Struthio camelus: one gene and its partner. The protein of the gene in region 1 purifies or fractionates together with the protein of each later gene. This does not show direct contact. Links are inferred from orthologs where the notes say so. Each region holds a gene or a part of one and is shown in the gene's direction. Other genes may lie near its edges.

The links.
Region 2: the proteins of STK38 (region 1) and MOB2 purify together in Homo sapiens (affinity purification with mass spectrometry; 7 studies listed by BioGRID and IntAct, with this or other methods). This does not show direct contact. The link is inferred for Struthio camelus from reciprocal best matches to the Homo sapiens genes STK38 and MOB2.

The regions. Positions count from the first base shown.
Region 1 is NC_090965.1:4,691,047-4,698,514, reverse strand, and holds the start of STK38 (serine/threonine-protein kinase 38), read left to right. Parts: upstream 1-4,467; 5' UTR 4,468-4,481; coding exon 4,482-4,697; intron 4,698-5,124; coding exon 5,125-5,168; intron 5,169-5,176; exon of another isoform or gene 5,177-5,369; intron 5,370-6,308; coding exon 6,309-6,443; intron 6,444-7,468. Other genes in the region: parathyroid hormone 4-like, read left to right, coding at 605-693, 1,796-2,198. UniProt on the Homo sapiens protein: Serine/threonine-protein kinase that acts as a negative regulator of MAP3K1/2 signaling. Converts MAP3K2 from its phosphorylated form to its non-phosphorylated form and inhibits autophosphorylation of MAP3K2.
Region 2 is NC_090946.1:17,772,205-17,779,338, reverse strand, and holds the start of MOB2 (MOB kinase activator 2), read left to right. Parts: upstream 1-4,120; 5' UTR 4,121-4,218; coding exon 4,219-4,328; intron 4,329-7,134. UniProt on the Homo sapiens protein: Stimulates the autophosphorylation and kinase activity of STK38 and STK38L.

The DNA.
Region 1 (7,468 bases):
GAGCCAGAAATCCATTTCTTTTCAGGAAAAAAAATATCATTCTTGTGTGCTGTGGCAGATCAGGATGTCAGTAACATCATGTGTATTGCTGATGTAAAAGTCTTGTATTATTAAAGGTCCAAATGCCAGGACTGGGTCCACCTTTTAACTTAAACTGCAGAGTCCACTCTTAAACTCTTGTTGAGGTCTGTAATACATTTCTAAAGCAGCAACCCTGATTTTTTTTTTTGGTTGGTTAAATTTCTGCTAAGTTTTTATCAGGAAGATGTCTTATCAGTTCCAAATAAAATAATCTCTTGCGCCGGCATATGCACAAGAGCAGGAAGTAATACCTTAACAAGCAATAGCGGAAAAGGAGATATAGGACTCCCAGTAAAGAAATGTAGCAATTTACTATGAAATATATTCATCTTTTACTGATACACACTACAAGCTGTAATGATGCTCTGACAGGTCCTGAGGTGATATACCATAGTATACTGCTCCACTGTTACTAATGCTTATAGGCTGAAATTCATTTTGTCAAGTGAAAGAAAGAGAAAGATTTTTGGTGATACTGGCCACTTCTTGTCCTGTCGAACAGATTTAAAGAAGAAGAGAGAAAATGTTCCTGCCTCAGAGATCTCTGAAGATGGTTACATTTTTGGCACTTCTTTTTCTTTCCTCTTTTGCAACATCTCAAGACACTGAAAAGTAAGCAATATCACCCTTTTCCTTAATATTATTAGAAGACTGCTTGCTTTCGGTTTAATGGGCTGTCTTCCCCATTGCTGCCATGTACCCCAGGGCATAGTTGAAGGAAGATTCCATACATCTGATAGAACAACGTTTTACATCACCCTTTATGCAGTACAGAATCAGGCCAATTGCATTTTACGTGCAAAAATTATACCATCTTCAGTGCATTTCAGTTGACGCTTTTAAATATAGCGTAGCAAACCACGCAAAGATGCTCGACGCAAGTCATGGAAATGTCACATACTGAAATTCCATATTTAGGTTCTCCCATTCAGATCCAAATCTGCAGTGTGAGCCTATAGCTGGAGTTAGCTGTTTCTAAACTGCCCCAAATCCAGAAATATTCTGGAATTAGCCTGCCCTCCCCCGTCAATATTTGGATCAAAAGTTTTGGTATGTCTTAAGAAAATAAAAGCTTGTTTTCATTTCATGGACACCACTGATTTAAGTTAAATTACTCCTGACTTACAGCTCTGGAAGGAAAGAAACAAACACAACAATCCTAGAACATTAAGTTCATAAAAAGATTTTTATTGCAGCATTTGGAGCTCTGAAAAGACCGCAAATTTGCCCAAATCTGGGTAAAGACCAAACTTCTATTTGCAGAGCTCTATAAGCCTGCTGAAGTCACTTTGCCACTCTGTGCCCAAATTTGGCTTTTTTGTTTGTTTTGTTTGTTTTGTTTTGTCTTAAGAGGATTCAAGGTATCTTTTGGGAATAGCTGCATGTATGGTGTTTCAGCTTCCCCTCTTCAACAACTGGCTACCTGGTTGCCTTGCAAGCTGCCCCGAGCTAACCTGTGTGGAGGAGCTCACACGCTGATCTGGGGTCTGTGCGCTTTGCAAGGGCCATGCCAGCTCTGGGCTCCCACACTACTAGCTTTGCCATGGACACGGCCTCAGGGCTGTCCCCCACAAGATGTTCAGGCACCACCAACGCTCCTTCCTCAGCTTTGAGGAGCAGCTAAGAGTGATAGATGCAAATCAGCCATGTTTGCAATATGAACTTAGATCTGGCTGTACTTGTTTCCTAACGGAACTCTTTCTTCCTGTTGCAGTAAAAGAGCAGTGACGGAGCATCAGCTCATGCATGACAAAGGGAGGGCATTTCAAGGGCTGAAGCGCCTGACCTGGCTCCACAATGCCCTGGGTAGTGTGCACACAGCCAGCAGCAGGGATATTTCGCTTTCAAATGCCATGGGGGATTCTCAGAAGAGCCGAGATCCCTCAGATCTCCACAACAGCATCAGCAGAGCCGAGACTTCAAGCCTGATGAAGCAGCTGCTGGACGTGATGGAAAAAGAGCAAGGCTTCATCCTGTTAAAGAAGCCAGATTTACTGCAATATATGAAGACCCCAAAGGGTAACTGGAACCCACAAGACCTTTTGGACCTCCTTCAAATCAAAGAGCTGGGCAGCAAGAGAAATCCTAGCGCCCAGCCAGCAAACTTTTCACACTAGTCTGAATCCAGCTCAGTCTGTCCATCGCTTTAGGCGTGCGATGTTGTGAGGAAAAGCTCTAATGCAAGGGTGAAACACAAAAGAAAAATAACGTTCATTTGTTCCGTTAACTACTCCTAGATGCTGAATAGAGAGAGCCTCATAAGGACCTAAGTTCTCTCCCTAACAGGCAGTCTGAATAGTGTGACTGTGAGATGGGGTGATTTTTCACAGGCCAGAAATATCTCTTTCCATGACAGGGTCTTCCCTGTCTGTTACTGGTATCTTAAGGTTGTGACAGCTCTTTGCAGCTCTTGTAGTCCAGGCATAACAGGAAGTTTGGTTCATGAATCTGCATATTCACAGGTTCATTTGCAGTCTAATGTTTTGCCTCCTAAAGAAGCAGTGACTGCTAATACAGATTTTCTTCTATTTCCATCCTGCCTGCCATTCTGCCACTTTCTGCAGTAGTAATAACTTTACTTAGGCTTTAGGCCCTAAGGTTCATAATTTTCCTGCTTTTTAAGCATCTAGAATGTTTTAGGAAGTCTCTCATCTCTCGGTTTTTCCTTTAGGACGGTGGCAAACTTTCATCAGGCCACAGAGGTAGAAATTGGCAGCTGATCCCCACCACTCCCAGCCTAAGCCCTAGACAGTCATCTTGTTCTGCTGATGGAAGAGTGATGAGAATCAGCTTCCAGCCTCCATACTCGAGCCTTTTGTGTCAAGACGTCCTATCTTTTCCTTTTTCCCATGAAACTCTCTCGAAGAGCTCCCAAAGCATACCACATTTTCTAGGTGGAAAACCAACTTCATGAGGCCATTTGTGTTTCCTGAAAGAGAAATAGATGCCACAAGATTTTGTTTTGCTATTCTCCTTTAACGTCAAACTGGCCAGCTCTGTCTTGCAAAGCAAGGTCCAGTTTAGTTGCAAAATCAGTCTTTCAGAAATGAAATATCTATTTCTTGTGTTACAAATACATCAGCATTTCCATCATGTAGGGACCGTACATGACACTTTCATTCCTGAAATTCCTCTGCTGCTGCTAGACTTCAATAGCATGTGCAGAGAGTATTTCTCAGTGCTGTGATTTATACCCAACAAGTCCTTGATGTTGTTAAAGAAATAATAATAAAAACCCTTTCACACTCTCTATTGTACTTGTTTTTTGCAGAAATGTAAATAAAATGAAGATCTGCTTTTGCTAACATCTCCACACATTTGGAATGAATATGGAATTACACTCCTTGCACATTTGAAGTGTATTGAGGAAGAGGCGCTGCCCCATGTCATTTACGGGAAGTTGAGACTCGAAAAAAGATTAGACATTCTAAATCCTTAGTTCAGCCCACTCTGGGAAGAATTAAAAGTCACTCTGGGAACCCTTGGGACGCGGTTGGTGTTGTCCCAGGCCAGGTCCCACGCTGTAACGTGTCCGTGCCACTCCACAGGGATCTCCATTAGATGCCCAAGCCCATTCAAATCATGAGTGAAACGTGATTTCAGATGTTCCTGACAAAGCAGAGGCTGGGAGCAGAAGAGGGCTGAGATGAAAATTGGTCATACAGCCCAAAGCATGAGTTTGCTGAGCTGGGGTACAGAAGCCCTTTCTCCTCGAACCAGCCTCTGGGCTGAGCTGGATTTCAGAGTCCAGGGGTGTAAGTGAGGAGGCGTGACTACGAATAGCTCTAACCTCCGGGAAAACACCTTCTCCCATTGGGCCTGTTGGGTGCACCGGGGAGTTTGCCTCTGTAGATGTATTTCTGTCTACAGGGCGGAAGGCCCCTTTCCTGTCTTTGAGCCCTTGGAAGCTGAAGTAGGTGAGCGAAGGGGCACTGAACGCCTCAACTGTCACTATCAGCGCCCTGGGGTTTTCGCGGTGCCTGTCCCTGACCAAAACCGACCTCCCTCGGCGGCAGGGCCACAGGGTGCACGAGGCCACAGATGGCGGTGGCCTTTTCGGAGGGGGGGAAGAGGAAGGATGGGGCTCGCCGGGCCTGGGCGAGCCGGGCGTGCCAGCAGACGGACTGCTCGAAGCACCTCCGGCCGGCTCCAGAGGGGAAAAAGGGCTGATTTAAGGCAAAACGCGTGGATTTCGGAAGGCATGAGCGCACCAAGCGGGTGGTGGCGGTGGGGGGGGGGGGGGAACAGCCCCCCCCCAGGGCCACCCAGGCGCGGGGCACACTGCGCATGCGCCGGAGAAACCCGCTCCCGCCAGCCCGGGCATGCGCCGCTCGCAGGGCGGCGGGGAGGGGGAAGGCCGAGGCCCCGCCCCCCCGCTGGCAGAGGGCGGGGCCGGGAGGATGGTGACGCATGCGCGCTGCCGTAGCGGTGTCTGGGGCGCTTGTCCCGTCCGGGTCGCCGTCGGTGGCGGCGCCGGGGGTTCGCGTGGCTCGGTTTGGGGCCCGCGCTCCGCTTCGCCCCCTCCCAGCTCCGCCTCCTTCCGCAGGCGCCGGGACCCCGCCGCCGCCTTCTGCTCCTCACACCACCTCCCCCCCCCGCCCGGGGGGGGGGCTCCGGTAAGCCGCTCCCCCTCCCCTCGCCTCGTTGCCATGGAGACCTCTCGCCGGTGCCCTCCCCGCCGCGCTCCCCGCCGCGGGCCGCCCCCTCCTCAGGCTGCGGAGAGCTGCGGGCCCCCGGGGCTGCGTGGCCGGGACCCTCTTCCCCCCGGCTGGGCGAGCGGGGCCCGCCGCGGTGCTGCCGGGCCTCGCCGCTGCTGCGGGCAGCACCGAAGTTACCTGTCGCTGCCGAGGGTCGAAACCTGCTCGGCACCGTCGCCGGGCTCCCCTCTGCCGGTCCCCAGAGTCAGCGCACCTAAAAACTAACAGGTGGCTTTTGCTGCCTTTGAGTTGGGTGCTTTCTTCCCCCGCCGCTCCCCCCCCCCCTTTTTTTCCCCCCCCTTTCTAACCTGCTTCTACTAGATAATTTTCACACTCTGTTCTCTAGGAAACGAAAGCCAGCGGCGTAGTTTTCATAAATACACGCTCCCGGTACGCAGGTCTCTCCCGCCGTGTCCTCGGTGCACGTGGAGAACGCGCCCCTGCTTCTTCATGTAGCATCACTTGAGAGCTGCTGTCCCGTAAGGGCATGACCCCCTCTCAAGCAGAAGTGTAGCCAGAGGTTCTTGCTGGTTCCCTCGTTATATCTCTTCTGTGAAGAAACCTTCAGGCATTCCAGACGAAACAGTTATGGTTTGTAAAGGACGTGATTTGTAAAGGTGCAGTGATGCCTTATAAAGAAAACCGTAAGAAGTAAACAGGAAAAATCCAAATCATAACATTCGGCTAGCACCTAAATATCGCAGAAGGGAGAAGTGTGTCTAACCTACCTTTGTCTGCAATTTCTAGTAATAGTTACAAAGTCAGTTACGTTACTAGCAGTTACGCTGTGACCAGTAAATGTAGGCTGAAATATAATTTTGCATTTGGTATCTCTGAATTTGAATGTGTTTTAAGAAGCAGAGTTAGGCTGTAAATGTGCCCCAGGGCTGTGCTGCAAGATGGAACTGGCGTACTCTGAAACGTTTCTTAAGAGAATTCAGTGTGTAAATCCAGGACACGTAAACTAGTATTTGTTGTTTGTTTGTTTGTTTTAAGCAACTGAAGGCTTTTTTTTTTTTTTGGCTTTCTCTCTCGATTGCTCCATTATCAGGATAACTTCCAGGATTTTGATAAAATTCACAGTAGAGGAGACAGCATGCAACTGATGATTTTATTTCTCTAAGGATCAAAGGAAGAAGAACTTCTGGATTAGATGTTTCAGCATGATGTTTTTGAACTTTAAGTATTTACGAATGATAGGGAGAAAATATTGGGAGAAATGCAAGATATTTGCAGCGCTGCCCAAAATTGTGGTTTTTGAGGCATCATGTTTCTTAAGTTTCCTTCCCTCTTATTTTCAGATCAAAAATGTTCAAAACAGGAAGTTTGACTGGTACCTTTATTTTGTAATATTTTTTTCTCTCTACTTGGGCTTAGCTTAGACAACTGGACTGTTATCACTTGTTCTGCTGATAAAACTAAAATTTAAACTCTGGCCTCTGTGATTCAGCAGCACTTGATTGATTGTAGTTCTTGTTTGAAGGATGTCATTTCTAATGTCAAACGTTTCCTCCCTTTTTCTTTTCTAAGAGCCATGGCAATGACAGGCCCAACACCCTGCTCATCCATGAGTAATCACACCAAGGAGCGAGTTACAATGACAAAGGTGACATTAGAAAACTTCTATAGCAATCTAATCGCACAGCATGAAGAACGGGAGATGAGGTAAAAATCTTTCTTGCTTCCATTCCAAATTGGGTAAGACCCCAAAAGAAATGTTAATTGAATTTTAGCTATCTGGATCCAAAGCGGAAAAAAAAAAAAGAAAATCTTTGCTGAGCAGGTACCTAAACTCATGAGGAGGGTACCTAGATGTGGCTTGGCCCGAGGATCCAGAGGCAACTGCTGGGTTCCTGGATCCCAGTGTCGTTTAGGCTGGGGCTTTCTGAGTCTCTGAAACATGCTTGCAAACACAAAAGTGGTATGATGATCATCACGTTTTAAGAAGGTGTATGTTTGATATGTGACTAAGTAGAAACTAACTTTAGAATCATTCGAGTACAATTCTGCAGTAAAAAGCCAGCATTTGGAAATGCTTATCCTGTCTACTTTTGTTCTGTTGCCCCTCCCCGTTTGATGTCTCTGGCTGTAATATTTAAAACTCATTCTTATGGCGTCAGTTTAATTGTGGGTTGTAGTTTGTGATAGAGTCACCTGATGAGGGAAGATGAATCTTTTCAAAGGCAATGAGCGATTGCTATACGGACATCATGTAATGTCATTTCACTGTTAACTTCTTACCTATGAATTAGCTGAATTTATCACATCCCTTGAAATATATCTGTCAAAACATAACAAGTGATTTAACTGAGATGTATTACTTTTGTTTTCCTTTGGCTGGAACCTTCTAATTTGCTGAATATCCTCAAGTTGTAGCACTGGGACTTGGGACATTTTCCCAACTTGCAATGTAGTCTATAATCAGAATTTTCAGAAAGGTTCAGCGTTCCTTCGCTTCCAGACTTACAGCCAAAAAAGCTAACTTGATCCAAGTGGAATGCCTGCTAACTACAGTAACGGCAGAAATGAAGAAGAAATTTAGAAATAAATACCAAGTTGCGTACATATTTTCTCCAAGACTTCAAAGTAACGACGAGAGATTGAGGTCTAATCCAAACAGAAAATATCACTAATTTAATTCATTGCTTTCTCTTTGTATAGTTCTTGCTTTGTGTTATAAGTACTGCTGT
Region 2 (7,134 bases), on another chromosome or scaffold:
TGAAAATATACCCTTGAAATCTCTTTCCCCTTCACAGAATCACAGAACGGTTGAGGTTGGCAGGGACCGCTGCAGATCATCTAGTCCAACCCCCCTGCTCAAGCAGGGTCCTCTAGAGCATATTTCCTAGGATCCACCTCCAGGCAGGTTTTGAAAATCTCCAGCGAAGGAGAACTCCACAACCTCTCTGGGCAACCTGTTGCGGTGCTCAGGCACCCTCACAGGAAAGAAGTTTTTCCTCATGTTCAGATGGACCTGCCTGTGCTTCAGTTTCTGCCCATTGCCTCTTGTCCTGTTGCTGGGCGCCACTGAGAAGAGTTTGGCCCCATCCTCTTGACACCCTTCTTTCGGGTACTTGTAGACATTGATGAGATCCCCTCACAGTCTTCTCTTCTCCAGGCTGAACAGGCCCAGCTTTCTCTGCCTTTCTTTATAGGAGAGAAGAAAGTCCACTAGAGGTCCACTACCGCCACCTCCATACTACCTTTTAAGACTGAGTTGACTTTGACCTCAATCTGTCTTCTGTCCAAAATTCATGCCTCTACAGTCTATTAGTGTCGCTTCTTCTTGGCCTCTTTGCTGCTGCGTGACAATGACAGAAGGGAGAGCGAATGTAGTCTCGGTATAAATATTGCTTAGAGGCAAGCTAAATGATAACATATTTTCATTGCTAATTTTTGAGCGTTTGGTCCGGAGAACTGGGGATGCACTGTGAGGTAATTGGAAAGGTTACTTGGCTAGGTAGTAGAAAAGCACACGAAAGTTGGACAAAAGGGCCAATTAGCTAGCAAAATTCAAACATTGTATGTCAGGCAGGGACGCACAGTAAACTTCAGTTTAATTTAAAACAGACCTTTACAATCTGACGTTACAAGGCCTCATTTCTTATAGCTCAATGCTGACTTGTACTTTAGTCAAAATAATGGTTGTGATCTCCCCCCCGCCCTCCCGCACTGTTTGCTTGTCTGGGTTAATATGGCTTGCTTTCTTTTCCAAACTTCTGGATACTAGTATGCATCTCTGTGGTGGCTGCTTTACACTTAACTTTTATGGAACCCTAAAAGGGGCAAATAAATAAGTAATTGAGCAACTGCTGCTTATAAAATGTTTATAAATACCAAGTATTATTTATAATATTTCTTAATATCATTCCTCGGCTTGGTGGTCAGCCTAGGCCCTAACAAGAAGTTTGAGTTTAGATGGCATCGATCACAAAGCGCTCTCTGGTGCTGAGAGAGGCAGGGATCAGTGTGGAAAACATTCCATCGGTGTCCTATAAGCATCTATATTTATGTGTAAATGGTGAGAGATGGGGCTCTGCTCTTCCTACGGTATTGTTTTGTGCCCTTATTCTGTGCCGCTGTCGACTCATCGGGTATGGTGGTGATACTGTTTTGTTGATACGTCTGTAAAACTGCCACTGTCATAAAGCTTGCTGTTGTATCTGGCCCGTGCACGGATATTTCTGTTAAAAGTTTCGTGATGATTTCAGGATACAGTTCAGTGACCTTTAAAGCTTGACTGGTGGGTAAGGGACGGTAAGAAGCACTTTGCCACTGTTGAAGCACACTTAAATCTCAGGTTGGACTCAGCAGTTGTTACATGCAGAGAATGTTGAGGTGGCAGATAAAAAAAAGAAGGTAATGATGGATGTAAATAGCCGGAATATCAGATATCTTTGAGACACAGCCTTGAGAGAGTGCAGATATGCATCCTTAAGAATAGGCATAGCTAGAGAGCATACCAGTGGTTGTGTACAAATAAATACACAGCTTTTTAGATAGAGTACTGCTCTTTCTGGATATAACAGCTTTCAAGCAAACCCATTTGTGTCTGCACATACACTCTAAATCTTTCAGTTTAAAGTATGAGACTCCATACTGCACATATGTTTTAAGTTACTGTACATTGATGCCATATAAATAAAAGCATACGTGCTTAAGTTGTGCTTCCTGTAATAACCTCAAGTTTCATCTTTATGATTTTGGAGCATTTAAAATTGAGCTTGAGATATTGCTTTCTCCCACGACTTAAATAAAATCTAGTAATACAAATAAGCTGTAGCATGCAGTCAATCCAAAAGGGGGATACTGCTTGACTAGAGGAATACTTACAGATGGAGGAAAGGCTGGAAAAGGTGCCGTGAAGACACATAGTTGAAGAAAGAGACAGGAAAGCATCGGTTTGATCCAGAAGCTAACAGAATAGAAATATGGGTCATTTATCTAGGTCAAAGTGAACTGATATTAGGTTTACAAATTTGATTTTGGTTTAATCATCAGTTCCTAATCCTAGGCCCCCATGTAAGGTCACTGAAGCCTCTGTCTCTGAAGAAGTGGTGCTTAGCTGTCAGAGGTGTGCAGAGGCCAGCCTTCTTAAATGGTAAATGTTACAGTTCATTATCTCAGAGCTGTACTTATTTTGGTTTGACCCCTGGATTTTTCTTAAATTTATCTTGGACAGACAGACTTTCATTAAAGCCTAAGCTACCTTATCTCCCATGCTTGTTGTTTTCAGGACAGATTTTTAACAAAATTCTTTGTGCAGATTTCATTGGCGAACAAAGAAAAGCGCAACTTCCCTCTTGGCAGGTGTCCTTCCATTGTTTGCTAGGACTGTTGCTTATTAGTGTTACTGTGACAAGTTGTTCTTATTTGGGGAAAAAGACTGAGTGGGCATCAGATTTTTCAAAGGTTTGGATAATCTGTGTAAAATGCACGACTGCAAAGTGGAAAGCTAAGCTCTGTTCTGTCTTCTGCCACAGGCTTCCTGTGTGATATCAGTGAAGTCATTAAAGCTCTGTCTTTTATGGCTTGCTTGAAAAGTGGGAGTAAAAATACCTCCCACTTCACAAGGATGTGCAGGCCTAACTAGTTCTTTATGGATCTGACTCGGATCTGTGACTAGCAGGCAGTGCGTAAATGAAAAATACGGTTCTCTGTGTAGGGGCACTGGGATGGAGAGTAGCATGTTATTTCTCCAAGTAGGACCTGTGGCTGGCGTTTCTTGGGTTTGCTTAGGTTTGTGCAAATAGCAGCCGCATTCCAGTCCACTTTGACCACCTGAAGCAAATAATGCCTTTCAGCTGACAGTAGCAGTGGCATTTTCTGTGCTAGGTTTAATTAAAGACCGCTGTTGGCCTTCTGTTTGCAAGGGGAAGATGCCAGTTCAGTAAACTAACTGGAGACCTGTCCTTTCTGAGTTCACCTGGTGCTGGGAGATGTATGTTAAAAGGGCAAAAACACTGTTTTCTCCAAGACAGTCTAGGTAGTTTTTTCCATGTCAGAATGAGCAGTATCCTCAGGGCTTTGTCTAGGTCATGCTACATCCTACCCATCACTTCTTTCTTGTGATTTGCCTGTAAATGCTACTTCTGTGAGCCAGTGGCACAGCAGCCTGTCAGAAAGGTAGGTGTCAGGTGCTGTTACGTGGCATGGCTGAGGAACTGGACATACAGCACCGATCTAGAGATCTGCTACTGCGTATGGGAAAACTCAAAGTGGTTTTTAAGTGCGGCACTGCAGATCTCTTGTTTGGGGACCCTACTTAATCAGTTGTTGCCCTCTAAGGACCATCCACCCCGCAAGTTCTGGCTCTTAGCTCTGGGAACCTGCCAGGTCATAACGGCAAGGTGGCTCTCCCAGCTTCTGGCTTACTCTTTTTCACCTTTCTTCTTCTCATCAGAGTCCTTTGATAAAGATGTTGATGCTGTTTCCCAGCCGAAGTTCACTCTGTGAAACTGTAGTTCTGATGCAGAACATACAGAGCTCCGCACTTTTGCTGGCCCGTGCCCTTATTTATGTGATCCGGTCCCTAAAGAGCAGTGCCAAGCCTCGCTCGTGAAAGGCTTCGTTATTCCCCTCTCCAGCAAGGGTCGCGGCGGGGCTGCCCGGCTGGCGGGGGCGTGCCGCGGGGGGGCAGCGTCAGGAGGCGACACCCTGCCGCCAGCGCGGCTGCTTGTCCCGCTGCTTAGGGGCCGCCAAGAGAAGCGGCAGCGTCCGGGGGCCTGGCCGCGCACCCGGGCCGCCCGGCGCTCCTCGTCCGCCCTGGAAGGGGCGGGGCGGGGCGGGGGCAGCCGCCGCGGCCCATTGGCAGGGCCGGCAGGGGGCCGGGCCGGGCCGGGCCGGGGGCGCTCGGCGGGGGGGAGCGGAGCGCCGCGCCGCGCCGCGCCGCGCCCGGCTTTTCCGCCCGCTGCTGCCGCCGGCCCCGCGCTGTACCATGGTCGGGGATCACTGCAGCCTCCCCGGTGATCGGCCCGTGCTCGCCCAGAGCCCCAAACCCGGACTAAGCTGCAAAATGGTCCTGCAGGCGGTGGGCAAAGTGCTGCGGTAAGGGCGGCTGCGGGGTCGCGGCGGGTGGCGAGGGAGCAGCTGGAAGGCGCGGGTTACGGAGCCGGCCCGGCCGCCTTGTTGTCCTCGGTCCTCTCGTGCCTGGAGGAGGGAGGCGGCTCTCGGTTCCCTTGGACTCTGGCGTAGCTCTCTGGGAGGGTGGAAGTTTGACTACTGATAGCTGCTTAAGCAGAAGCACTTGTCCACGCATGACACTGCCGTGAAGTTTCGTTTGTGGTCTAAACTAAATTTCCAGGACATAAGGAGACGGTGAAGGTCCTGGCTTTTCATTAGTAGTCGTCAAATAAGGACTCTGACAACGACTGCGTTTGCTTTGGCGTGTTTTATACAAACATATCTTCAGATGAGGGGAAAAAGTTGCTCATGTGGCTCAGAAGGGCTTGTGTGAGCATCGGGATGTGTATGACTACAGAGACCAAAACCAGACTGTTTGGCAAAGGACGCAGTAATTTGATCGGGGGAGTTCTGACCGATTCTGATTCGAGGGGAAAATGTCACCACAAATATTAGGACTAACAGCTTCATTCTTGGACAACTGGAGCTCTTTATTTCAGTTAAATGTGCTCGGATATTTTCTCAGATCTGTGCTGCTCCGAAAAGGAGCCTTGTTGCTCAAGCGTAACTTTATTTGGCAAGCTTTTGTTTGTGCCCGTTTCCTGCTGTCTGTTGCCAGTTGTTAAATGTTTGTCAACAGAAACATCGCTCCTCTCTTACGTTGTTGACTCATGTTTCTTCTCTCCCCAAAGTAGCTTAGAGGAGACCTTTTATTCAGTTAGAGCGTTCTGATCACAAAGTGGAAGAAAATGACTGAGATCTAGCTGTGCCTTGAACTAAAGAAATTTAGTGGACTTGGAGCAGACTCGAGCATTTGTTGCAGTGGGTTTTTAAAGAAATACTGTCTTGCTGTACTTCATGTCTTTGTGTTAACTAACATTTTCTGCAGGAACTTATTTTTGAAGAATTTAGGTTTCTTTTTCAGCTTTTTAACAAGTGTAACCTTTCAGAACTATTTTACATCCCTTCTTAGAAATTTTGGGAGGGGGGTTTATAATTGGTGTTACACACTAACTCGTATCATAAAATACTTTGGCCAGAGGCTGGCTATTCATGCTGTGAAGCTTTTGAAGTTTTTGGTAGCTGTTCTATTGGCAGCACTCCCAGGTGTAAATAGATTGGTGCCTCTGTAGGAAGGTATTGCCAAATCTTTTGTTTGGCAGCTATGGCAGTTTATTTTAAAGTATAGGTAGCTTCCTCTGACTTGTCAATGAAACATACGTATTTTTGTTTTGTTCAGTGCACATGTATGAGAAAATAAAACTTCTTCCTTTCCCCTCCAACGGGGATGCATGCAGAAATTGTGCGTAACTTGCTCTAGCTTTTTTCTGAGGTTTATTTTCAACATATATTATAAAACTGTTGTGAAAGCAGGAAAAAGTTGCTGTTCTATAGGAAATATTTGGGACATAGAAAATAATAGCATAGCTTTATTTAGCTAAAGCTGTTATTAAAGGAGCGTGAGTACTGTTTTCCAGTAGTTCTTTTTTAATGTGTCTTTTCATCCTGGGTTATCACCTCTTGTTACCTGATCAGAGAGAAATGTGAAGTCACAAAAACTTTCTTTGGATGATAGACTGGGACTCTTATTTCTCCTCTTGGACGTACTTCAGATGCCTTATGTATGTTACTTCATCTTATTTTTCTGCAGTTTATGTTTGTAAAACAGATAAACTCACCATGTTCTGCAAAGAGTTCAGACAGCGTAAGTGCTCAGCTACTGGCTGGCAGCCTAGGTAAATAATCGATCTGACAGGGGTCTCATTGCTGCAGAAATCATGTGTTTGTGCTTCTTGAAAAGTGTGAGCCCAGTGATACTGAAAGAAGAATCCCTGTGGGACCCGGTTTAGGCTAAAAAAGGTGGCTTGTTGCTGGCAGCTGTGATGGCATTCCTTTGAGTGTAGACATCCAGAGCTAAGCTTTGTCTGCTTTATACTGGGTAGAGAACAGGCAGTTTGACAAAGCCGTTCATTTTGCATGAAAGCAGATGTGCAATGCAAGTCTGATAAAGAGTGGCTAGCTCACCTGTCAACCTTTGTGTTGTAGGCATATGAGGCAATATGAGATGAATCGCACCATTATTATAATGCTTTACCAGCTATTTCAAAGTAAGCGGGGGACAAAGTGTATTTGATACCACTTTTAACCCCGGCCTTCTGCAACAGTGCTTGATTGAATTCTTTTGTAGTCTGCACAGAAGATGAAACGGTGCTGAACTTCAGGATAAAGTAGTTTTTCTTCTGTTAATCAGGTCTTGAAACTGTTTGGGGATGTGATCAAAGGATATTTTGTTTATGTGTAGCCTGACATTATAAACAGCCTAGTGTGTTTTAGTCTAGTTTCACTGGCAAAACCGGGAATCATCATCATCATCATCATTGTGCCTCCCCTCCGCCCTCAGTACTTGCAGAAATTTGCAGCGGGCAAGGAGTAAAGCGCCTGTCTTTTCTCTTAAGTAGTCCCCCGTTTCTGTGTCTCTGGGGGTTTTATTGGTTGTGAATTACCAGTCTCAGTTGTTGCAGTGAGATACTTACTGGTATGATTTTCCTCTGTAACAAATGCATTCTACAATAGTTAAATGAGTTTTATACTCTTGTAGCTAACTTGCTCTCTTAAGGCTTGTAACGTTCACGTTGCTTTCACTAATATTGCTTAGTATTGTAGTCTAAGTCCTCTGTAGCAGCCGAGCGCCAAATAGTGTGTATGTCACACGCTAGCAGTAATAGTTGCC